Linked DNA regions of Arabidopsis thaliana. The protein of the gene in region 1 interacts with the protein of each later gene in a pairwise test. Each region holds a gene or a part of one and is shown on either strand. Other genes may lie near its edges.

Evidence for each region. The genes of interacting proteins can lie anywhere in the genome.
Region 2: the proteins of CNGC10 (region 1) and CAT9 interact in a protein complementation assay, tested with the Arabidopsis thaliana proteins (one large-scale study listed by BioGRID).
Region 3: the proteins of CNGC10 (region 1) and CAX5 interact in a protein complementation assay, tested with the Arabidopsis thaliana proteins (one large-scale study listed by BioGRID).

The regions. Positions count from the first base shown.
Region 1 is NC_003070.9:130,708-138,835, forward strand, and holds CNGC10 (cyclic nucleotide gated channel 10), read right to left. Parts: upstream 5,218-8,128; 5' UTR 5,001-5,217; intron 4,616-5,000; exon of another isoform or gene 4,563-4,615; 5' UTR 4,510-4,562; coding exon 4,481-4,509; exon of another isoform or gene 4,412-4,480; coding exon of another isoform or gene 4,398-4,411; coding exon 3,875-4,397; intron 3,795-3,874; coding exon 3,582-3,794; intron 3,500-3,581; coding exon 3,204-3,499; intron 3,046-3,203; coding exon 2,934-3,045; intron 2,833-2,933; coding exon 2,596-2,832; intron 2,512-2,595; coding exon 2,117-2,511; intron 2,038-2,116; coding exon 1,707-2,037; 3' UTR 1,563-1,706; downstream 1-1,562. Other genes in the region: AT1G01335 (auxin-responsive endogenous peptide protein), read left to right, coding at 29-151; AT1G01350 (Zinc finger (CCCH-type/C3HC4-type RING finger) family protein), read left to right, coding at 6,025-6,109, 6,228-7,051, 7,141-7,263; AT1G01355 (Putative endonuclease or glycosyl hydrolase), read left to right, coding at 7,806-7,834, 7,890-8,071. UniProt on the Arabidopsis thaliana protein: Probable cyclic nucleotide-gated ion channel.
Region 2 is NC_003070.9:1,799,086-1,806,527, reverse strand, and holds CAT9 (cationic amino acid transporter 9), read left to right. Parts: upstream 1-2,527; 5' UTR 2,528-2,585; coding exon 2,586-2,835; exon of another isoform or gene 2,836-2,920; coding exon 2,921-3,330; intron 3,331-3,409; coding exon 3,410-3,586; intron 3,587-3,657; coding exon 3,658-3,882; intron 3,883-3,994; coding exon 3,995-4,171; intron 4,172-4,267; coding exon 4,268-4,504; coding exon of another isoform or gene 4,505-4,531; exon of another isoform or gene 4,532-4,853; coding exon 4,854-4,949; coding exon of another isoform or gene 4,950-4,967; exon of another isoform or gene 4,968-5,025; coding exon 5,026-5,163; 3' UTR 5,164-5,418; downstream 5,419-7,442. Other genes in the region: AT1G05950 (uncharacterized protein), read left to right, coding at 185-295, 411-564, 649-861, 944-1,159, 1,275-1,341, 1,422-1,576, 1,646-1,712, 1,804-1,955; AT1G05930 (B3 domain protein (DUF313)), read right to left, coding at 5,595-5,679, 6,239-7,110. UniProt on the Arabidopsis thaliana protein: Permease involved in the transport of the cationic amino acids.
Region 3 is NC_003070.9:20,829,007-20,837,316, forward strand, and holds CAX5 (cation exchanger 5), read right to left. Parts: upstream 5,623-8,310; 5' UTR 5,320-5,622; intron 5,014-5,319; exon of another isoform or gene 4,998-5,013; 5' UTR 4,936-4,997; coding exon 4,891-4,935; intron 4,803-4,890; coding exon 4,557-4,802; intron 4,470-4,556; coding exon 4,402-4,469; intron 4,308-4,401; coding exon 4,279-4,307; intron 4,188-4,278; coding exon 3,991-4,187; intron 3,889-3,990; coding exon 3,676-3,888; intron 3,408-3,675; coding exon 3,273-3,407; intron 3,108-3,272; coding exon 2,991-3,107; intron 2,913-2,990; coding exon 2,859-2,912; intron 2,779-2,858; coding exon 2,662-2,778; intron 2,571-2,661; coding exon 2,477-2,570; intron 2,392-2,476; coding exon 2,381-2,391; 3' UTR 2,025-2,380; downstream 1-2,024. Other genes in the region: CAX6 (vacuolar cation/proton exchanger), read right to left, coding at 1-20, 110-244, 366-569, 651-847, 924-952, 1,026-1,093, 1,183-1,416, 1,500-1,589; SIP1 (seed imbibition 1), read right to left, coding at 6,501-6,880, 6,960-7,177, 7,251-7,385, 7,482-7,549, 7,616-7,757, 7,849-8,310. UniProt on the Arabidopsis thaliana protein: Vacuolar cation/proton exchanger (CAX). Translocates Ca(2+) and other metal ions into vacuoles using the proton gradient formed by H(+)-ATPase and H(+)-pyrophosphatase.

The sequences.
Region 1 (8,128 bases):
TTACCTTTTAGGGCCTCTAAAGTCGTTAATGGGCCTAAGTGATTGTCTTATTTATAGGCTTGTTGTTCGCTGCTTTTTGGATTATTCTATTTGTGCCCCTTTCTACTTCTATCACAAATTCATGCTCTCTGCGTCAGAACCAGTTTTTTAAAAAAGTAAATGCAGAAATGGTAACTTAACTGCCCAGTTAAAAGAGTCTAAGAAATCACGTTATTAGGTATTATATGGCTCAAAAATGTGTATTTTGTTTGAAGCACGAGCTTGTTGGTCCAGATATTTTTGTATGTTTCCATATAAAAGCAAGCTATAATTAGTTCAAACAATCACACGTTCTTTGATCATTAATTTTTTTTAATCACAATGAACATTAAGGACTCTTAACATACACGTTTTTGTAAGCAAAATCAAATTTTATCATAATAAAATAAATAAAGGTTTTTTTTATGTATGAAGAAAATGAGAGCAGGCGATTTTGTCGTCCAGTAATGTTGGCAATGGCAGGGGTCACAAGTGGAAAGAAGAAACAAAGATGCGGGACCATTTGTCTTAAATGGGTCCCACGTAAAATGGGTATTCCAACGAATCGGAGCCGCACACTTTCTTAACCTGACTGCAATCAGACGGTGCTAGATGGACCACGTAAAGCTGCCTCCTCCCGTTATCCTATTCCACAAGTAACCAAACGAAATGGCCAATTTGTCCATACATTCTGTAATTCTTTTTTCCTTTCCGAAGTAATGTATTTATCGTTTCACTCGTAAATTTTTGTAAATATATTATTCATATGTTGAATATTATGTAACTTTCATTCTTTAGAAATGATAATCTCTATACGAAATTTTAGCATGAAACTAGATTATAATTTGGTTGACCATAAAAATGAACAATGAAATGGATTAATAGATTTTTCCGAAAACAGGTTAATCTTACGATCATGAAGAGTGATAAGGTTTAACATTATCTTCCACTCCGATCAATCTTACGGAAGAAGAGATGAATTTGGGGATTAGCATTCTCTCAGGTGGTTGTTGATAAAAAAGAGATGAAAGTACTCTAGGGTTACTTGTAGTATATATAAACGCAAGCTCAATATGTTGGTCTGCTTTATACAGGAGCGGGACTTAAAAAAAGGAAACACTGAAAACCGACATACGAAAGAGACGTTGATATTATACCGAACAAAACCAAAAGGAAACATTGGTTGGTTTGCTTTGATTTCTCAAGGAAGAAGAGAGAATGAGTGAGATGTTGTTGGAGATTAGCATTCTCCCTCAGGTTTTCATTATTAGGTTCTTCCAAAATAAAAAGGAAACTTTCGATTGTTTCCTTCTTCAAGAAAAGACATAAACGCAAAAAAGTTTCTTTAAACTCGGGAGTCAAAACAAGTTTAAGTAAAGTCCTAAACCTGACAGACCTTCTAACACTAGCCATTCTCTCATAACCAACCCCAGTTTTGCTATGCATTAGCTTGAAAGCTAAATATGCTTTTCCCACTTTCCTCAATGCATTGATCATCAGATCGAGTCTCTAACTATACCTCCATGTGTGATGCTGAACTGAAGTAGCCAAAGTTAAGCGGCGCATAAGAGCCAGCCATTATTTCAATTTCTGTTAGTTGATAAACAATTTTTTACATTTTATTGGTTCAAAGTTCAAACCATTGTTTTTACACTTTATTCCACACACTATACACATGCAAGAGAGATCTAAGGGTCAGTTGTATGATTGGCGGTGAAGTCAGGCTCGGTGGGTTTTTGAGGTAGCAAAGGAAGAGTGTAGCGAGGAGGAAGGTTGGAGATATTGTGCCTCAGATTGTGAAGCGCGTTTGATGCGAAACGCGACGCGTAAAGAGCGCCTCCAAGGCTCAAGGACGACGACACGGTTGCAGCATTGTGTTCTTTATCTTGACTAGCGAGCGCTTCTCGGAGACGATCTTCTTCATCGCGTAGTGACTTGGCTAACTTCCTCCGACAGTATCTCCTCCACGCTGCTTGTATAAAAGACACGCTCCATGTTCTCCATTGCACTGAGTAAAACCTGTATATATAATCAAGATCCGGTTAAGAAGATCCAAAACCGAAAACAGAGCCAAAGAAGCTGATGGGAGTGACCGAACCGAAAAGTATGTTGGAGTTGCTTGCTATGGAGGCGTCTGAATTGTGAAGCGACAGACTTGAGATCCTCAGCTGTGAGAGCAAAGGCTTCGACTTCAGTGAGAGCTTGAACTGTTCTTGTCGAGATGGGAAAGTGAGAAGAAGATTGAGGATCTAATGCCCACGGGAGAAGATCTTCTCCGCAGAAATCACTTGCCTTTAGGTTCACGGCATTGAAGAACCCACTTCTTCCTCCATTAGTGGTGGCACTTACCAGTCTTCCTCTCATAACAAACAACATTTCCCCAACAGGATCTCCTTCACGGATCACGTAACTGTTCTCGGTGTAGAGCACAGGTCTTAGCCTATCGCAAACCGCGTCAAGTAACTGCTCATCCATTATCTCAAACAAAGGTACCTACCATAAACATCATATAATTTGGATTCTGAGGGTTCTTTAGTTCAGTTTATGGAAGAAAAAGAGAGAAAGCTTGTTACTCACTTTCTTGAGGAGATCGAGGCAAAGATGGCGTTTAATATCTCTTCTGAGGTCTTTAGGGAGGTTACGAAGAAGGGTTTCTTCTTCAACTCCTCTTGTCTCTTGCCATCTATATTGTTCATATCTTCTGATACGTTTCCTCAGGTCTTCAGGTAACATTCTATGAGACATCCACTGCTCTGCATCTCTCTTTCTCACCCTCATTTCCTCTTCTCGAACTGTTGTTGACTCCAAATATTTCTGCAACAGCAAACAAAAATTACATGCGTGTCCTGAGTAACTTATATGTAGCATTATGGAACAAGTCCAGAAAATGAGAAGCGATTATTTGAGGCTAATACCTGCATATTGCCGATAAGTAGAGCAAATAAGACTAGTCCAGATATGCAGATTGATATAGCAAATATGATTTCACCAACGAATTTGCTAGTTTGGAGATTCTGTCCCAATGCACTGCAACAACAAAAGCAACTTGTGAGAATGATGACTTGTTTAAATTGTGACAGATATATATGCTTAAGATGCAAATATAAACAGGTCATTTCACGGCTTAAAATCTCCAAATATAGCTAGTTAGTTATTGTCAACAGTTTTATGTGTGTCTTACAAACCTCAGATTTCGAAGACCCCACCAGAAGCAGTAGAAGAATTTCTTCCAGAAATCATGTGATTCAACAACGCCACTCTTAAGAGCATCAGTGAAGATGCCAAAGTTGAAGATGGTTGAGTTTGTTATATCACCAGGGTCGAGAAATGGGCAAGAAGTGGTCAGGAAATTGTTGCTAACGTTACGATCGTTTTCACAGTAGAGGAATTTCATATTACAACCTTTTGTCTTCTCGCATGCCTCTTGCCAGCATCTGTCTTCTCGTTCTACTGAGATTAAGTACCATAAAGCTCCAAACACCTGAATAAGTAAGTTTAACATATAACCTTTAATATGCATTTACATGTATAAAGATTCAGTCATCAAAAGATCCGAAACTCACATGACTGGCTAACATATAGAGAGAGAGGTTCCAAGCAGCTCCAGCCCATGCTGTTTCAGTAACAATGCCAGATGTTCTTGTCACTTCAGTGTAAAGCGGATACATACGGAGAATCCGAGGAACATATTGAGCAATTATGGAAAATTTAAGGTAGTCTTTTGTTAGCAAAGAGACTGGCTGGTTGACGCTTGGAATAACGGCTAAAACTACTATCTGCAAAAGTTAAGAAGCCAGAGGATTCAAAAAGAAATGATCATTGACATTTTGAACAAGTAATCAAACTAGTCATTTACCTGTGGGAGAGGAAGGATAGAGAGTAGATCAATGATGAAGTAAGAAGAGAGATACTTTAAGGCTATTGCCTTAGCATCATCTACCAGTTCACCTCTTCCAAAAACCCGCGAAGAAGGAGCGATGTAAGCTGTCCTGAACTGAAACACAATGTGAATAATGTAAAAGGCATCGATGAGCGTACGAAGCAAACTCGCAGCTATCTCCAACTTTGAGTCCAAAGTAAGACAGTGCCTTGCGCTATCGACAATGGGAATGTAGAAAAACAATGGATCAATCGCCAAAGCAACCACACAAGCAAATAAAAATATTTTGTTCCAGTTCTGGAGAAACGAATCCTGCGGGTTTATGATGTTCTTCCGAGTAACACTAGATGTTTCCTTGTGGTCAGGATCCTTATGTGAAGGGAAACTCAATGGCTTCTTGAATCCCCATTTTACATTCTTGAAAACTCTATCTAAAGAAGGTCTAGCTTTTCTTCCATAACCATATTCAGAGGATAATGGTTTGCCTTCATCTTTGAACCTAAACAAAATCATAAGAAAATGAGATAGTAGAAAAAATCATTCAACTATGAACTGTTTTCAAGATTTTCTGTAACTACCAACCTTACACGATTATCATGGCTAAATGCCATCAGCCAAACCCTTGTATATTTCAACTGATCTTTCGCTTACAGGGTGACGAGTCCTAACATTATAATAAGAACCAAAACTTAAGACATACGAATTCTTCTACATGATTACGTACAATGATAATCCCCAATACCAATTAAAAATAAGCAAGTAGACACCTAACTACAAATACAATTGTGTTGTGTGTATGTGTTTTTAAATATTTCTTTCTTGAAAAGGTTAATTAGAGAACCTAGAATCAGTCAATTTCCACCTAACATTAGATTATACCAAATCCTGTAATTCCTACCCATTCCTGCTCAATAAATGGAAACCACACGAACAACTTAAAAACACTGTTCATCAAAGATAAGAAATCCAAATTTCAAAAAACCATTGACCATAAACGAAAGACATATATCTAAGCGTTTCGGTTCTGAGAAACAGCAAAATAAATTCAGACGAAAAAGAACAAAAACGGAAATCGGAATCAAAATTCTATCATCAAACTAACCTGAAACGAAGTAGGTAACGGCGAGATAGTAAGATTCGGCTAATAAACGGAAGTCGGTGAACGGCGTTTTCTTCAATTCAAGCAACTGGTCCCGTCGTCGCTGGAAAGAGAGAGAGACTCATATGGCGGTTACTTGTATCTCTCTCTGTATATTGTTTCCTGGAAAAGTAGTATATGAGAATTTTATTATACGACAAAAAGGGAGGGAAAGAGGAATATTATGCAATTAAATATTATAAAGTCTGTTCAATTGAAAATCATTTCATAAAACAATTTCATTCAGATGAATGACTTGGTCAAAGTCAGACGGCGAGAATAAGCAAGTTGCCAAATTTTAAGTACCGGGCCCATTATGAATATTGAGCCCATTTAGATTCATGACCCAAAATGAAGTAACCGCCCCACCATATGTTCCTTATTTCTTTTCTCTTCACACTGATTTATTTTCTGTCGGAAAATACGGACGGCGTCGTCGTTCTTTTTGACGGTGTAGCTCACCGGCGTCGATTTTTAGATTTTTTTTTAAGGTAACATATTCTTCCTTGTGTTTAATCTCCATACTTTTGATCTACTTTTCGTTCTTGTTTAGTCTTTAGTGTTGTTCGAGCTTTTGTCTCCAATTTCAATCAATTCAAAGGGTTTTTAGATTCCAAATTTTGTAGCTTCCGTTGACACATCGAGTTGTCGAACTGTGTTTCGGATTGATCTGTCTGGAGCTTCTATTTCTGCTTCCTTATCTACTGTGAATGAAATTGCCACCGATATAGATAGTTAGCTAGGGTTTATTCGTGAGCTCGCGTAGATGAATTAGGAAGAATTCAGGTGATCATTTTTATGTTGCATTGTCTATTATTGTAACTGAATCTGGAGAAATTTTGATAAAATTGTTGTTTGACTCAGTGCAAACAAATTTACAAGTTTTCAGGAAATTGACTTAATACTAATCTTGAATTTTGCAGGGAAACACTAAGCAGCAAATTACAAGTGGGTGATTTGTGTTTGTTACATAGTCTTATATCTAACTATGTCAGATTCTGGTGAGCCTAAACCTTCTCAGCAAGAAGAACCTCTACCTCAACCTGCTGCCCAAGAAACTCAGTCTCAACAAGGTTACATATACTTCCTTCTATCTCAATTCTAGTTGTCGTCTCATTGAGATTTTTTCTTGTTCTTCGTTGTTAGCTAGAAATTTTCATTTACACTAATCAAATCATTCTTCTGTTTCAGTTTGCACTTTCTTCAAGAAGCCAACGAAAAGTAAAAACATAAGAAAAAGAACCATTGACGCTGATGAAGAAGACGGAGATTCGAAAAGCGAAAGCTCTATTCTACAAAATCTAAAGAAAGTTGCAAAACCCGATAGCAAGTTATACTTTTCTTCTGGACCATCTAAGAGTTCTACTACAACGAGTGGAGCTCCTGAGAGGTCCGTCTTTCACTACGATTCATCCAAGGAAATCCAGGTTCAGAACGACAGTGGAGCAACAGCAACCCTTGAAACTGAGACCGACTTCAATCAAGACGCACGAGCTATCCGTGAGAGAGTTCTTAAAAAAGCAGACGAAGCATTGAAAGGGAATAAGAAAAAGGCTTCTGATGAGAAGCTGTACAAAGGAATTCATGGATATACAGATCACAAAGCTGGGTTTAGAAGAGAACAAACAATCTCGAGCGAGAAAGCTGGAGGCTCACACGGGCCATTAAGAGCTTCTGCTCACATAAGAGTGTCGGCTAGATTCGATTACCAGCCAGACATTTGCAAGGATTACAAAGAAACCGGATACTGTGGATATGGAGATTCGTGTAAGTTCTTGCATGACCGTGGGGATTACAAACCAGGATGGCAGATAGAGAAAGAGTGGGAAGAAGCAGAGAAAGTTAGGAAGAGAAATAAAGCTATGGGAGTTGAGGATGAAGATGATGAGGCTGACAAGGATAGCGACGAAGACGAAAATGCATTGCCCTTTGCTTGCTTCATTTGCAGGGAGCCTTTTGTTGATCCAGTTGTCACCAAATGCAAGCATTACTTCTGTGAGCATTGTGCTTTAAAGGTATGATCATCACAATTACGAGTCTGTTTTTTTTTTAGTTGTGAAGAAATGTGTGAAACTAGCGAGTTTTGTTTAATGTAATGATGCAGCATCACACGAAGAACAAGAAGTGCTTTGTGTGTAACCAACCAACAATGGGGATTTTCAATGCAGCACATGAGATCAAGAAGAGAATGGCTGAAGAACGGAGTAAAGCTGAACAAGGATTGTGAAGTCCTTGTTTCACTGGACAAAAAGGCAAAAACTATATTTGGTTATTTACTTGAGGAAAGCTTTTTGTTTTGTTGTACTCACTGGCCTATATATATTCATTCGGATGACGACGATAGTTGTTTCAAACTGATTAACTTTTAAATTTAAACAAACTGAAAATTGAATCAGAGTTTTGGAGTCAACTTCCTAGTAAATCATCGTCAGAATAATAGTCGTCAAACTCGATATCCTGATTCACATATTTTGATATAGAAATTTGCTTCCCAAATTGAAAACGCGGTCGTTTAATAAACAGGCCAAAAGTAAAGTTCCTTACCAAACTTTTTAATCTAATGGGCCCGTGCGCTAAGATACAGTTAATGGGCAACGCGAATCGGCCCATAAATAAACCACACCACAAGTAGCGGTAACAAGGTAGTTCTATGGGGTAGAAAACGCATCTGAACAGGTAATTATTTGTCCTACAAGGTTCGATCGAATGTTCTCATCTCTTTTTTTCTCTCTGGCTTTCCGATCTTCTAGATTTTCCAAGTCTTGAATGATGAGGAAGGCGAAGGCTGTGGCCTGTGGGTGAGGTCGTGCCAAAGTCTAAGGCTGTAACACGCGTCTGGTGGGACATCAACAGGTGTCCGGTTCCGGCTGACGTTGATGTTCGCAGGGTCGGTCCGTGTATAAAACGGGCTTTGGAGAAATTAGGCTACTCTGGTCCTCTCACCATCACTGCCGTTGGGATACTAACAGACGTCCCTCATGACTTCCTCAGACAAGTCCATTCCTCTGGAATCGCTCTTCATCACGTTCCCACCGGTTTATATCTTCTCATCCTTCATTTTCTAAAATTAGGGTTTTGCTTCTATTTGCCCT
Region 2 (7,442 bases), 1.7 Mb from region 1:
TTTGGTATGCTCTAGCTCAAATGACTCCCAAATTTTGGCAAGATGGTTATTCAGCTGTTATCCTTAAACTCACTTTACTTTACATTAGTTGCATGATTGGATCATTCTTTACTTTTTGTAAGTACAAGGAGGTATTGACATGATATTCCTAACCATCTTCTTTTGCTTTTCTCTATGAAAATAGTATGCAGGGTCCTTTATTTGAGAAGAGCTTTTCCGACTGGACTATGAATTCTATAGTGGAATACTTTCATGTTCTTCCATATGCCACTCTCATAGAAGATTGGTTTTCCAGGTTTAATTGCATCCTTTTTTTCTTCCTAAATTGTTATTCCTTAACATTACTTTGAGTTTGTTTGGTATCATTTCTAGTTTAGGGGTAGCAATATAAGTTTATTGTGCTTTTTCAGGCGAGGAGATACCGAATTTGTGATAGAGAAAGAACCAGAAGCTGTATGTGATGATATCGAAAGCAACAAAGTAGATGCAACCAAGGAGTCGGAAGTTTCCGACATTTTTGAAAGACGAGAAAAAGCTGCTTTAAAAAGGAGATATGAAATTAAAGTATGCTCTCATAATGATACTTGTATTGTATGGTTGTGTTAAGGAAAATGGTATTACAAATTAACTTAAGAATTTAAATTGCAGGCCAAAAAAGTTGCCGCTCTACTGAGCCATCCTGGAGCTAGAGGAAAAGCTACGACGAGGTTGCAAAATCGGTACTTAAAAGGAAGTATGAGTGGTGCGAAGGAACCTAATGTTCACTCGGAGACAGTAGTTGCGTTGAAGGCTAAGAATGTAGGTAATGAAATGAGCCCTTGTAAGGATAACTATTCGAATGGAGAGAAAGGTGGTTTCGAGGTGAAATCTGAAATCTACACTAACAATTATATATTCTCAATTCAATCTTCAAGTATCCTTTATCACCCTTTTGTAAATGCAGGTTGCGTCTGACCCAAAGGAACTTAAAGAAAGAGGTCTCCAGAGGAAGAAAGCTGTTCCTGACAGACTTAATAGCATTCATAAGCTTAATTCAACTCCTGCTTCTGCTCATAACTCTAATCCAAATCTTGAGGAGCTACAGACGTCTCTTCTTTCTAAAGCAACATCACTATCCGAAACTGCATTGAAAGTTCTTCTTTGCAAACGAGATAAACTGGTAATAACTGTAGAATTTGATCAAAGATACACAACACAGCAAAAAAACTGATTGGCAATAGCATATATATCCTTATTTTATGATTAAGAGCTGCTCTCTTTTTCTCTGGCTGCAGACTCGTCAACAGAGGAACATAGAAGACGAGATTGCTAAATGTGATAAATGCATCCAGAACATCAAAGGTATGTATATATACATATACTTTTCCTTTCTGCACAGCTTTGTTTTTACATGAATCTTAGTGATCTCGTGGGTGTTATAGGTGATTGGGAGCTGCAATTAGAAACAGTACTCGAGTGCTGTAACGAGACATACCCGAGGCGTAACCTTCAAGAATCTCTTGACAAGTCAGCATGCCAAAGCAACAAGAGGCTGAAGCTCAGTGAAACTCTTCCTTCTACTAAAAGTCTGTGTCAGGTTAGTTTATGGTTACTTTAATCATTTCTTGTTCAAAGAATTAAGATTCATTGCCCCTATTTATTGCAGAGACTCGATGATATCTGTCTCATGAATAACTGGGTACTACCAAACTATCGTGTGGCTCCATCAGATGGTAAAGTTTTGAGATCATTTGCCAAACTCGTAGTTCAGCTCCATTACTCCCTTCAGATTTGCATGTTGATGTTGATGCTTTGTTCAAAAAGGTGGATATGAAGCTGAAGTAAGAATCACGGGGAATCATGTCGCATGTACAATACATGGAGAGGAAAAGTCTGATGCTGAGGAAGCTAGGGAATCTGCGGCAGCTTGCTTGCTAACAAAGTTACAACACGACACAGCAGCCAACTTATCATGATTATGTGAGATTCAAGAACAACTCAGAAACCAAACTAACTTCCAGCATGAGTAGAAAACAACCCTGATTTTGATATGTATGGCCATTTTGGACGAATAGCAAGATTTGTACAAAACTCCATCCTCTGGTTGAGATTTTGAGATATATTACAAGAAGTCAAAGGTATTAACTGATGCAGAAACTAAAGTAGAACCAGAATCATGTTAAAAACCTAATCCTAAGCCTCCTGCATTTAAAACAATCCTAGAAACTCAAAAACCCAACAAAGTGCTAAAGAGGGATGAAAGAAATCCTAGTAAAAAAAAACCCTAATATTGTTAACTAGACCAAAAACCTCAACAATGGCCTGAAAGATTAGACCAATATGAATCTCAACAGACACAAGAAACTTGTCAACAACGAAAATAGGAGCTATACTGTCTCATGGCAAAACAGAGGACTCCATCGCACCTAAAGGCCCAAAGACAGATGTCGTCGCGAGCTTTCAGTTCATTAGAGGGTTATTGGGTTTAAGTGGTCTCTGTTGGGCCCAATGGTTGGCCCAATATTTATTGATTTGGATTCTGATTATCCCGGGGGTGATTTCAGTCATCGTCTCGATCAATCTTCAACTCTCAAATTGAAGTTTCCATGGGAGGCCACGAAGGTTTCAGCAACCAACGCCTCTCCTCCGCCACATGGTTCTCTCATTTCCGTGCTTCAGCTCTCCGATCTAAATCACTGCCCCCTCCGTCCTCGCAGACTGCCGTTCGCTCCACCTCTGGCGACTCTCTGGTTCGTCGCCTCGGCCTTTTCGACCTCATACTGTTGGGCGTCGGCGCTTCCATCGGCGCCGGTGTCTTCGTCGTCACCGGAACCGTCGCTCGCGATGCTGGACCTGGTCAGTTGAATGAATTACTTTTTCTCACCACCTCCTTGATTCGTTCAGAATCGCTTAGTGATTATTGCTGCCGTTGCGTGCCTAGGAGTCACAATCAGCTTCTTGCTAGCTGGAGCATCGTGTGTGTTGAACGCTCTCTGTTATGCTGAACTTTCATCTCGTTTCCCTGCTGTTGTTGGTGGAGCTTACATGTACTCTTACTCAGCTTTCAATGAGATCACAGCTTTTCTTGTTTTCGTTCAACTCATGCTTGACTATCATATTGGCGCCGCTAGTATCTCCCGTAGCTTGGCCAGCTATGCTGTTGCTCTTCTTGAGCTTTTTCCAGCCCTCAAGGGCTCTATTCCTCTCTGGATGGGAAGCGGCAAAGAGCTCTTGGGAGGGCTTCTCTCTTTGAATATTTTGGCTCCCATTTTACTTGCTCTCTTGACCCTTGTTCTATGCCAAGGTGTGCGAGAATCTTCCGCTGTCAACTCCGTTATGACTGCTACTAAGGTAAGCTTCTTTCCTTTTAACCTTCTCTTCTTATCTTTACCAAAAAAAACTCTTCTTCACTATATTGTTTCTTCTGTAGGTCGTGATCGTTCTCGTTGTGATTTGTGCCGGTGCTTTTGAAATTGATGTAGCAAATTGGTCTCCTTTTGCGCCTAATGGTTTTAAAGCAGTTCTCACTGGAGCTACTGTTGTCTTCTTTTCATATGTTGGATTTGATGCAGTTGCTAATTCTGCTGAAGAATCGAAGAACCCTCAGGTCTGCCTATATATATGTTGAATGTACATACTATCTACAAAGTCTCTTATGTCTGTTTAATTCTTGTTCAGCGCGATTTGCCAATCGGAATTATGGGGAGCCTTCTGGTTTGTATCTCGCTGTATATTGGCGTATGTTTGGTGCTCACCGGGATGGTCCCTTTTAGCCTCCTCAGCGAAGATGCTCCTTTAGCTGAAGCCTTTTCATCAAAGGGTATGAAGTTCGTCTCAATCTTAATCAGTATTGGTGCTGTTGCTGGACTCACAACTACTCTGCTTGTTGGTCTTTATGTTCAGGTGATAATATATATATATGTATTTCTTTTGTAATTTCTTTTATTATGTACTTGTATATTATGCAAACCAAGGTAACACTCTTGAGTAATCATATGATATTTCGGATAAACAGTCCAGGTTATATCTGGGACTTGGAAGGGATGGTCTATTGCCTTCAATCTTTTCCAGAATACACCCAACTCTTCATACACCTCTTCATTCTCAAATCTGGTGCGGCATTGTAGCTGGCGTTTTAGCTGGCATATTTAATGTACATAGTCTTTCCCATATTCTGTCTGTTGGTACATTGGTACGTCAAGGTCTTAATTTTAAATATCTCTTTGCTTTTCTTATTGATACTTATACTTTCCAGTTTAACATTATTTTCGGTGTTCCATTTCTTCAGACTGGGTATTCAGTTGTTGCGGCTTGTGTTGTGGCATTGAGACTGAATGATAAAAAAGATAGAGAGTCGTCCAATAGATGGACATCAAGTTGGCAGGAAGGCGTCATTTGCCTTGTTATAATTGCATGCAGTGGTTTTGGTGCTGGCGTATTTTACCGTTTCAGTGCTTCAGTTATATTTATTCTCCTCTCAGTTGGTGTGGCAGTTGTTGCTTCAGCAGTTCTTCATTATCGCCAAGTAAGTAGCCTTAAGTATAAGCCTTAATTCCATAGCACACTCTTCTTAATTTCATAGCGCCAAAAAAAATAAAATAAAAAAACCAAGTTTCACCCCTGTTAAAATGCTAGATACTAAGTCTTTTACTGATACAGCATAAAATAGAGACCACCACTAGCATGTTCTGGCACTTAGAACTCTACAGTGATACTATGAAAGTCTGTGACTATTGAAGTCTTTGCATTCTTGGTTTAGAGGAGAAGTTTGTTAACATCAATTAGGAAATATACCCTCATGGTTGTCTCCACAAATCAGGCAAATGCCTTGCTAGCTATGCTTCATGTTAAACCCCTCAGCTTTTCGCTTCCAGGCTTATGCTCTGCCTCTAGGTTCTGGGTTTAGCTGTCCTGGTGTACCCATTGTGCCATCCGTTTGCATTTTCTTCAACATCTTCTTATTTGCTCAGGTACACGCTAAGAACTAACTTTATACTAATTTCACATACCATATGATCTACCTTTGATTTTTCCGCTACTGTGCAGTTGCATTATGAAGCATGGATAAGATTTGTTGTTGTCAGTGTGCTTGCAACTGCCGTTTATGCCTTGTATGGGCAGTACCACGCAGATCCGAGCATGTTGGATTATCAGAGGGCACCTGAAACTGAAAGCGACGCTTAGTAATGCTACATTATAGTTGTGTTACTTAAAGCCATTTGTAGAGTTGATAGCAAGTTTCTGCGTTTCGTGAGAGACATACTGTATGTCACATACATATTCAGGTCGAGTTTAAGGATTGGATGGGATAAGGCAGTTAAACATTATTGTTGTAAAGAAGTTAATAAAAGTATGCTTGTGCATTTCAACTAAAGCCTTGAATGACTGAAAATGGCTTTTGTGCTACCAAATAATCCCAGAAGCTAGCAATGTTCACATAAACATACTCAATGTTAGAGTTATTCAACGGATCATAGTATAGAATCAGAAACAACAAGCTTACTAATAACAGACATCCAAACCCTCTAGCATTGTAGTAAGACCAAAACCCTCTAGAATTGCCCCAACTTAGCCGGCTGTACAAATGAAGATCAATCTCCACAGAGACAAGAAGCTTAGCAGAGACGGCGAGCATTGGAAGAGCTACTCTGTCTCAATGTAAGAGGAGGAACAAGAGCAAAACAGAGGATTCCACGCCACCTGAAAGACCAAAGACTGATGTCTTTCTGATTTACCCCTCTCGGTGACACCACACGCCTCTTGGGGCTCGTGGTCTCCCGTTAGACACAAAGATGGAGTCTTCTTGGACTCGGCAATGTAGTTTTGAAGAAGGTTAAAGAAAAAGGCGATGAAGAAGAAGTGGAAGCCCCATTAAGATTTTGTTGTGAATGAAAACTGAAAAGAGTGACTTTGTTGTTTTATATAGTTCGTTAATCCGTTCTGATTTACTTCGTTTTCCTCTTATAATAACTCTAAAGGTATAATCTTTTCTTTTTCTTTTCTTGAAAGCATTATTTAGAGAGTGTATTGTATTAAGCATGAAACAGAGACTGTGCTAAGCCTCCTGCATTTTAAACAATCCTAGAAACTCAAAAACCCGACAAAGTGTTAAAAGAGAGATGAAAGAAATCCTAGTAAAAAATAAAAACCCTAATTTTGTTAACTAGACCAAAAACCTCAAGAATGGCCTGAAAGATTAGACCAATGTGAATCTCAACAGACACAAGAAACTTGTCAATGACGAAAATAGGAGCTATACTGCCTCATGGCAAAACAGAGGACTCCATCGCACCTAAACGCCCAAAGACAGATGTCGTCGCCAGCTTTCAATTTATTAGCCTTAACAACGTCGTTCCAGCCACAACTCAGAAAGTAATTCTGGCCCCATCTCTTCAAAATCACACTCCACTTTTGAGACCTTTGATCCACGAGAATGGCTCCAACTCCCATCGTCTCATCATTGTAGGTATCTTCTTCTAGGATACTCCGCTCCTCAGGCTTCAAGAAGTCGTTACTGATTAATCTGTTGAAATGCATTGAGAAACGGCCATGTGTCGTTGTGATCACATCAGTTGTGGACAGAGTCTTCTCTAAGATAAGTGTTAGGTCTTCTGCTCTCATGTCTTTCATCACCTGGCGAAGCCACCACCGCATCTCCCTGGCCGTCCTTGAATAACAAGTTACCACTGGTCTGTTGAATCCACAGCGATGTAACACCTCAAGCATCCTAGGGTGTGTGTACTCCGTTAAGAACGAAGAAGGAGACCATTGGTGATAAGGGTTAGGTGGGTTTATGGTCTCCGTCTTCTTGTAGTACTCAGCCATGTAGTAGTCTTCTTCGAAGGGTAAGTTTAAAGAAGAAGAAGCCCCATTAGGGTTTTCAAAGTTAGGTTGTGGGTATCTAAGCGCAGGCCTTATCTTTCTGGGGACATGACTGAAGAATTCCCTCTTCTCGCTCTCTTCCTCGTATTTTTCTTTCTTTTTGATAAAGACGTGGTCTTCTTCTTTACAGACAATCTTGGCTTTTCCTTTTCTTGCGCGTTGTTCTTCATCACTCAACGTAGCCGCCAATTCATAGTTCATGGACATCGTGTTTCTCTCAGCCGCGTGATCATCGTCGTTTGTCGTCATTGTGATCTGAACCCTTACTCGAGAAGCTTGAGGAAGAAGGACTTTTGAGAGAGAAAGAGAATGAGAATGAGTGTTATTAAATAGTTAAAATCAGTTCTGGAATGGTAACATTCCTTTTTTACCTTTCAGCAAATAGGTTAATTACTGTGATTAATCATTAATTATGACCCACTTGCCTTCTTTTTACATCATTGTATTTGGAGATTGTGTGTATTATGCATTGAATGGAAATCTATGAGCGATGGCAAAAATGTATAATCGTCCATTTTTTATTTTTTTTATAATCTTGATAGTTTTTACCTTTATATAATTTTAAGCGAAAATCAGGAATC
Region 3 (8,310 bases), about 21 Mb from region 1:
TTCCATGAGACCGAAGTACCCTATTACAGATTCAAAAACAACATAACACAAGATGACAACGTAATAATATAAGATCTTCTTAAGAATGAAATACAGGGTCTTTAGTTACCTCTATGGCATCGACAAGATAGCCCGAAAGAAGAGAGACCCAAGCCGTAAAGATTGAAAGCCAGATGATAGCTTCCCACTTGGAGATCTCAGGATCTTCATCATCGTTTGAAGTTTCTTCGTTCTGGTTAGTTTTCTATAATTTACAGCAGAGATAAGTTTTAAGTAGAACTGGCAAGAATCATTTAGATGATGAAAGTGGTTGTAACTTGTAAGAAACAATTTTATATATGTAGTTAACTTAAAAGACAAGGAACCTCGGTATAAAAACTTGGCTGGCTCTTTAACTGGAAAAAGAGATAAGCTGCATAGGCAACGAGCATTATACAACTGATAAATCTCGACAGAGCAAGCTCTGATGATCCAGCATGAACCTCGCTGTGCGTGTAATGAAGAAATGTGGGGAAGAGTAGTCCCATGACTGCCATTAAAAGCATGCCCGAACTCACAACTGCATTCCTCTGTATGGTAGAAGAAATAAGATAAGAAACAAGAAGAATTGAACTAAACAGAAAAAAGAAAAGAAAGAATGATATGCAAACTTTGTCAAAGACTTGATCTTTCCCGGGAAACACAAGGCCGCCACAGAAAAAAGCGCAGCCAAGTACAAGCAAAATGTTAGAAAGAATCGAGCCAAGCAGCGTCAACTGTACAACGCGTATCATTCCATTTTTAAGAGCGATAATCGATATGATCAGCTCAATCACGTTTCCAAATGTAGCATTGAGGAGACCTCCAACTGTCAAAATTGTCTAGCGCGTCACAAATATATTAGGAGAAAAAAAAAGAGAGTAACGGAAGAAACCAAGTCATACCAGTTGCGCCTGTGTAGCAAGACAATTGCCTGTTACAAAACTAAACGGTTAGTGTTTGATGATATGGTAATTAAAGAGTCACAAGTGTGAGGAACAACTTACTCTGTGGCATATCCGAGACGTTCAGCTAATGGTGTGATACCTACTAAGCTTAGTAAGAAGAACCACCCCTGAGCCACAACAAGAATCGTTTCTTGAGACTAAACAAGAAGAAACAAAACTAATTATGATAAGTACCTGAGACTACAACTGCTCTCACCTTATTATCTGTCAAGTAGTGGACTAGTATTGCTAGAGGACCGAAAGGCAACAAAAGATTTAGTTTATTCGATAAAATGACGATCTTGAAGCTCTGGACCACACTGTTCCTAGGCGCTTTAGCTCTGCGTTCTCGAAGTGATCCTTGCTCCATCAAAGAAGCTGCATTTGTTTGTGGGGAATCTGTTTCTTGTTCCAAAAGGCTTTTAAGCTCAACTTCATTAACAAGCCCCATCTGTTTACGATAATAATTTAGTTCTTAAGCTGATAATGAGGAGCCAAATAACTGAGACAAGACGTGAACGTGGACTAACTTACTTCTACCTTCGCCTGCATAAAAGCTGGCACCTTACACCACCTTATAGACTTGAAGAAGTTGCTGAACATCAAATATAGCTCCATATACATGAGATTTGTGATCTCATTGATCTGTATATCGAGTTCTTAGAAAGTCTAGTCCTTGTTAACCTTAACTATTCCTTAAGAGTGTATGGCATGTGACACATGATTACAAGCACAATAAGCATCCACTCACTCGTTGCTTGGGGGAGAAGTTACAACAGATGGTCTTTGAATTGTTTATGGAACTCCAGTATTGAAGTATTAAAAGGTTTCCATTTCTTTAGTTTCTTTGTTCCTTAAAGGTATGACACTGAAGCACGATTCCATACCTTGAAGCTCAAACTTGTTTTGCAGCTTAAGGTTGCCGAATGTCGACTCAATGCTGCTTTTGTTGATCCACATTTTCAACAAATCCATCTGGAACTCATCTTCTTACGAACTATGATAAATATTTGCAGAAGAAATTCTGCAATCTTATGCCAAATATGGCTCACAATATTGTTTTGAGTAAGACTTAACTATAACTAGTGTCATCTTGTTTTTTACCATTAAATGTATGAATACAACCGTCCATAAACTGTTCAAAGAAAATCCTCTATATATTAGAGGATAAACAAGCATACTTAGAAAAGAAGAGACACTCCAATCTTGAATCTTCCCATCATAGTTATCAAGGTAATTTTACAAATTTGTAACCCTATAAGCCCCTAAGGGAAGGTAAAACCGTAAAATGGAGCTACTTTCAAATGTTATGAAACAAACTCTAGAATCTCAAATGTACATGTAAGATGATGTGTTCCTGAGATCTTCAGGCTTTAGTTTTAGGATACAAACTTTTTATGTTCTTTTGGGTTGATTTATATATCATCTGTCAAAAAATAAGAAGACAAAAACAGGTTTCAACAGAGAGTTGACACAGAGAAAGGAATATATATAGCAAATTCAACACTAACCTTGATGAGGATCTTCGTGTACAAAGAAACTAGCGGCGACTATCAAATAGCAAAGAATGAGCATCAATCCTTTGAAGTAATTCGATGTTCCTTCCTGCATAAAAACACCACACACAAAGACATTTAACAACTTTGAAGAGAGAGATATACTCGAGATTGGTTTCGTAATTAGCTTCAAGATTTACCTGGAGAAAGAAAGCTACAACAATAACAGTTATGAACAGAGTAGCCGTCTCAAATAGCTGGAAATTTAGGTCCATTTGGGCACCCATCATCCATCCGATAACCACGCAAAAAGGAACCTAAATCCAATCAAACTATCAGACAAAATCTTTTAGAGAATGTTCAGTACTAGACCCAAGTTCACATTTCATATACATACCGCGAACATAGAAATCTGAATGGAGGATCCAATAGCCACTCCCAAAGACAGATCCTGTAGAGGAGAATAATAAAGTTAGAACCTAAAGAAGAGAATCAAAGACATCAAAACGCAAGAGACTTGTCTGTGTACCAGCTTGTCTTTCATGGCAAACATGATGGCACCTGCATGCTCGGCCGCATTCCCAACTATAGGAAGTAAGATGACACTGATAAAAGAGATTGGTATCTTCCATGAGACTGAAGCACCCTATTACAGATTGAAAAACAATAATACAAAACCATAAGTCAAACTCATAAACTAGCATTACAATGTTGTCCTGATCATATGGAAATGAATAAACAGGCCAAGTTAATACACGTAAGATCTTTGTTCGAAATACTAAGATAGAAAAAAAAGCAGGTTGCTATTCACCTCTATGGCATCAACAAGATAGCCGGAAAGAAGAGAGACCCAAGCCGTCAAGATTGAAAGCCAGATAATAGCTTCCCACTTGGAGATCTCAGGATCTTCATCATCGTCTGAAGTTTCTTCGTTCTGGTTAGTTTCCTACAAATTAACAATGTTTACCAAACAGCTGAGATCAGTCCAATTAGAAGAGAAAGATAGCAACCACTCGGCTTTATAAAACAGAAATTCGACAGACCCCGTAAAACTGGCACGAATATTCTGTGGTCATGGATATACTGGTGAAAACTCGAAAATGAAAAAAAACAAATGTTGAAACAATTGTTCTATTTATAATTATCTTAGTCTATCGTTTCCAGGCTTTTTGTAAGAAAAAACGAAAGTCAACCGAAGGTCAAAGACAACAAACCTCGGTGAGAGGGGTATAAGAGCTCGGCTGGCTCTTTAACTGGAAAAAGAGGTAAGCAGCATAGGCAACGAGCATTATGCAACTGCTGAATCTTGAGAGAGCAAGCTCTGATGACCCAGCATGAACCTCACTGTGCGTGTAATGAAGAACTGCGGGGAAGAGTAGTCCCATGACAGCCATCAAAAGCAATCCCGAATTCACAACAGCATTACCCTGCATTGCAGAATAAATAAGCTCAGAAACATGGTATAAATTACAGAACAACAGGGACAATTACATTGAAAAAAAGAAGAGAACAAGTGATGATATTCCTACTTTGTCAAAGACTTGCTCTTTCTGGGAAAATACAAGCCCGCCACAAAAGAAGGCGCAGCCAAGTACAAGTAACATGTTAGAAAGTATCGAGCCGAGCAATGTCAGCTGTACAACACGTATCATTCCACTTTTAAGAGCGAAAATCGATATGATCAGCTCTGTCACGTTTCCAAATGTAGCGTTTAGGAGACCTCCAACTGTTAAATTTGTAAACAGCGTCAAAAAGATATCAGGAGAAAACAAAGTAAACCCGCAATAGAATGGCGATCAGAAGAAACCAAGTCATACCAGTTGAACCAGTGTAACAAGCTAATTGCCTGTCACAAAATAAACGGTTACTTATAGATAAGCCTTGCTGATAGAATGATAACATTGTAACTTATAGAGTTACAAGTGCGAGCAACAGCTTACTCGGTGGCATATCCGAGACGTTCAGCTAATGGTGTGATGCCTACTAAGCTCAATAAGAAGATCCATCCCTGAGCCACAAGAAGAATCATTTCTTGGGAAATAACAGGAAGAAATGAAACTGCTATGAATAGTACCCAAAAAGTACAACTGCTCACCTTATTATCTGTCAAGTAATGGAGTAGTATTGCCAGAGGACCAAAAGGCAACAAAAGATTAAGTTTATTCGATAAAATCACAATCTTGAAGCTCTGGAGCACACTGTTATTAGGTGTTTTAGTTGAGCATTCTCGAAAACTTGCAGAAAGTGATCCTTGTTCCATCAAGGAAGCTGCTTTTCTTTCTGGGGAATCAGTATCTCGTCTAAAAAGGCTTTTGTGCTCAACATCATTAACCAACCCCATCTGTTCAAAGTTGTAATCTTTCCATTAAGCTGACAATGAAGAGCCATATAATCAAAGATAATACATGATCGATCATGAACAAACTTACTTCTACCTGGGCCTGAATAAGAGCTGGCACTTTACAACAACCCATAGACTTGTGCTAAGAAAACATGAAAACGAGGATACACTACAATATCGTCTTCTTCTGGAAACCTGGAGATTGGAAATGCTTAGGAGATCAATCATCAGTATCAAAGAGCATTCCGTTATACAGTATATAAACCACAACCAAATGTGAAAACAAGAATCCAGAACAAGCTTGCACGATTCAACTGAAAATGTGTTAATCTAAGCTTAATCTTTCCATGAAATCAGAGCCCAATCAAATGACTTGATATTTGAAAAACACAAACCCAATTCCATCCAATATCAAAACCCTAAAACCAGATATAAACTACCAAGAATCAAATAGAAGACCTAAAGATGATCGGAGGGATCAACGAAACGGTGAAGAGAGATTCGAAAGTTTTAGTACCTAAGAAGAAGTCAACCAATGGTCAGAGAAGAAAGACTTGAACAAGTTGCAGCAGAAATCCCACAAAAATAAACACTTTGATATCTTCTTCTTCTTCTTCGGAGATTTGTGATCCCAATGGTCTGTTCTTTTTTATTGAGAGATGATACTAAAGAATTTGGGAGATGTCAGTAAACAAGTGCGTGATCGAGAGGAACTTTCCTTCTTCTACTCATTTTTAAAGACATGTTTCGATTTTTTATTTTCTTCTTTCAAATAATTTATGAAACTAGTTAATTGAATTTATTTAGACTTAGAAAAGAAAAAAGACTATTGGAACTTTATCTAATTTCCGATTTTTAAAAAATATTTGGACTCAATATTGTTACTTTCTAATGTTATGACTAATGAATATTGAAATATATGTGAACTGTGAATTACTGTGAAGATTTAAATATAGGAGAAAAAAAAGAGCAATTGCGGTCGATAAATTTTATTTTAATATCAGTTTTTAGTTAAAACATAGTGGTCCTAAACATGACGTGTTACCATAGTCCAGAATAAATTAACTATCGACCGCATCAAGTAATCCCAATTTTTTTAAAACTTTTTTGTTAAGGCAATTTTTTTATCATTGATTCGATCCCTTTCGTTTCTGGACTTAAATAAATCGTTTATAATTTCTTAAAATTTTCCTTTCAAAAGACGACCAAAAAAAAAAAAAAATCCTTTCAAAAAATATCATAAACTGATCAATTACTAGACCGAACCAAATCAAAATAATTAGACCAAAACCAAATTTTCTATAAAAACATTTAGGGTGTGTGTAGAAGTCATTTTCAGAGTAATTAAGAATGCTTTAATTTGCGAGTTTTATTAGTGGAAGTATTGCTAAAAATGCACGGATCTACTAGTCTACTACTATCTACAGATATGATTACATAGTCGTCTGGTTGTTCTCTTGTGGACAACTAAATTTGCACCATAACATTTTACAGATTTTACACCGTTGATGATAAATAAGAAGGAAGAAAATGATTACACTAATGCATGCTAAGCCATACAACAAACATTTTTTTTTTGTATTATTATATCAAAACGAACACGGACCAATCTGTTTGATTTGTATTGGTCTGGTCGATAACCCATACAGATTAACCAACAAATCAATACAGAACTGATACAATTATACAGATCAATAATTATTGGATGACCACGTCCCACAGATACAATTCTTTCTCCGGAACTCCTAAAGTAAACGTAACTAAACCGGATTCCGGTTCATACCGGTACTCCACGTCGTCTGAATCCACCGTAACACTTCGTGGTCGTCGAACGGACGAGTAAACACCAACCAAACCACTGCCTCGAAGTTTCATCCTAACGACAAATTTAGTCCCCTCGTCATCGTATCTTAAACTCACAATGGCTCCTCCAGAATTAAACATCTCCATAAGCCCCACCGGTGCAAATTTACTTCCATCGGAAAATTCCTTCACCGGAACCACCGTGAAAACTTCGTATTCACGTGGCATCAATGTCACTGGTAAAGATGTATCTTTTGGGAGATACACTAACTCTCCTGATAGAAAAGGAAAAAAAAAGTGAAGGTTTTAGTATAATCAGAGTAATTTAGACTGATGTTTGAGTTTGTGTACTACCTCTGAGATGGGAATAGACAATGGAATCTCCTGTCCATTCAAAGGCTGCTACTTTATGAAGATAATGAACATCATTGGTTCGGACACAACCAGAAATGGTCCCAGGTTCTTGGTCATGGATTAGGTATCTCTTCTCGTTCTTACACCATCCAGCGCCTTGGCAGTTGAAAACTCCAATAACGCCAGTGAATTCGTTCAGGTTCCATATTTTCAGAAGACTTGCAAAGTATAATACAACAGTTAGTTAAGATTTAAGCTTTCTTCTCTTCCAAGTAAAGGAAAACGAGATACCTTTTATTGTCTCTGACTGGATCACTGAAGAAGCAATCACTGGTTGGTCTTCCGGGAAGCTTTGCTCTGAGTATGGAACCGTCTCGAAGTACTAGCTTTCTTAAAAGGTTGAAGTCATGTTGTCCCGGTTTGTCGCTGTTTAACAAGTTTGAATGGATCTAGAGTTACTTACTTGCAGCTCATTTTACTATGATAATTTGTTTGTCAAATGGTATTGAATCTTGTGATTACCTGACATATATGGCACATCCTCCAACCGCGCGAGCTGCAGCATGATATTCAGCCATCGGATGCAAACTCTGCAATGAGAAACAGATAGATTCATTCACAAGTTCAGAAAAGTTTGTTAAAGCAATTCAACGTACATGAAACATGTCCCAGTCCGGCTGCATAAACTCTCCAAGGAAAAGTGTGTTATATGCAACAGAAGCAATGTGGATCGTGTGTGAAGCGGGGTCTCTAGGCCAGAAATCGTCTGATGCTCTTATAACAGCAGTCTTTTTTGCGCTAAAGTATCATTACAAGAAGAAATTAGAAGGGATAGTAATAATTATGGATAAATATCAATGAGAACAACGTTGTAGGTCCAGAAGCTAACCTGTAGAGACCATCTGTGTTATGACTCATGCAAGAGATAATACCATTGTCAGGGAAGTTTCTTGAAATAGAAGCTTCCAAAGCCTGGTGATACTTCTTTGCAAGTTTGACACGACCACCATGTCCAGCTCCAAGAGTTTCAAGAATGTTTTGGACGTCTACTTTGACACCATCGACCCCAACGGATGCAAGGTATGAGTGAAGATCATTATAGAAGCTAAAGACTTTCTCAGGATTCACCAAACCAAGTCCATTCTTAGTTATGCTTTCTAAACATCCACAATTCTCACTGGACATAACTCCTGGTGAAGAAACTGGATACGCAACCTTGGATTCGTAGTGTTCCATACCAGAAACACCTGGTTTGACTCCTCCCCAATATCCTGTTATCGCATGCCAAACATAAACATACTTGAGCGAATTATTACTCTTAATGTCTGTGATAACATGTCCAAGACTCAAT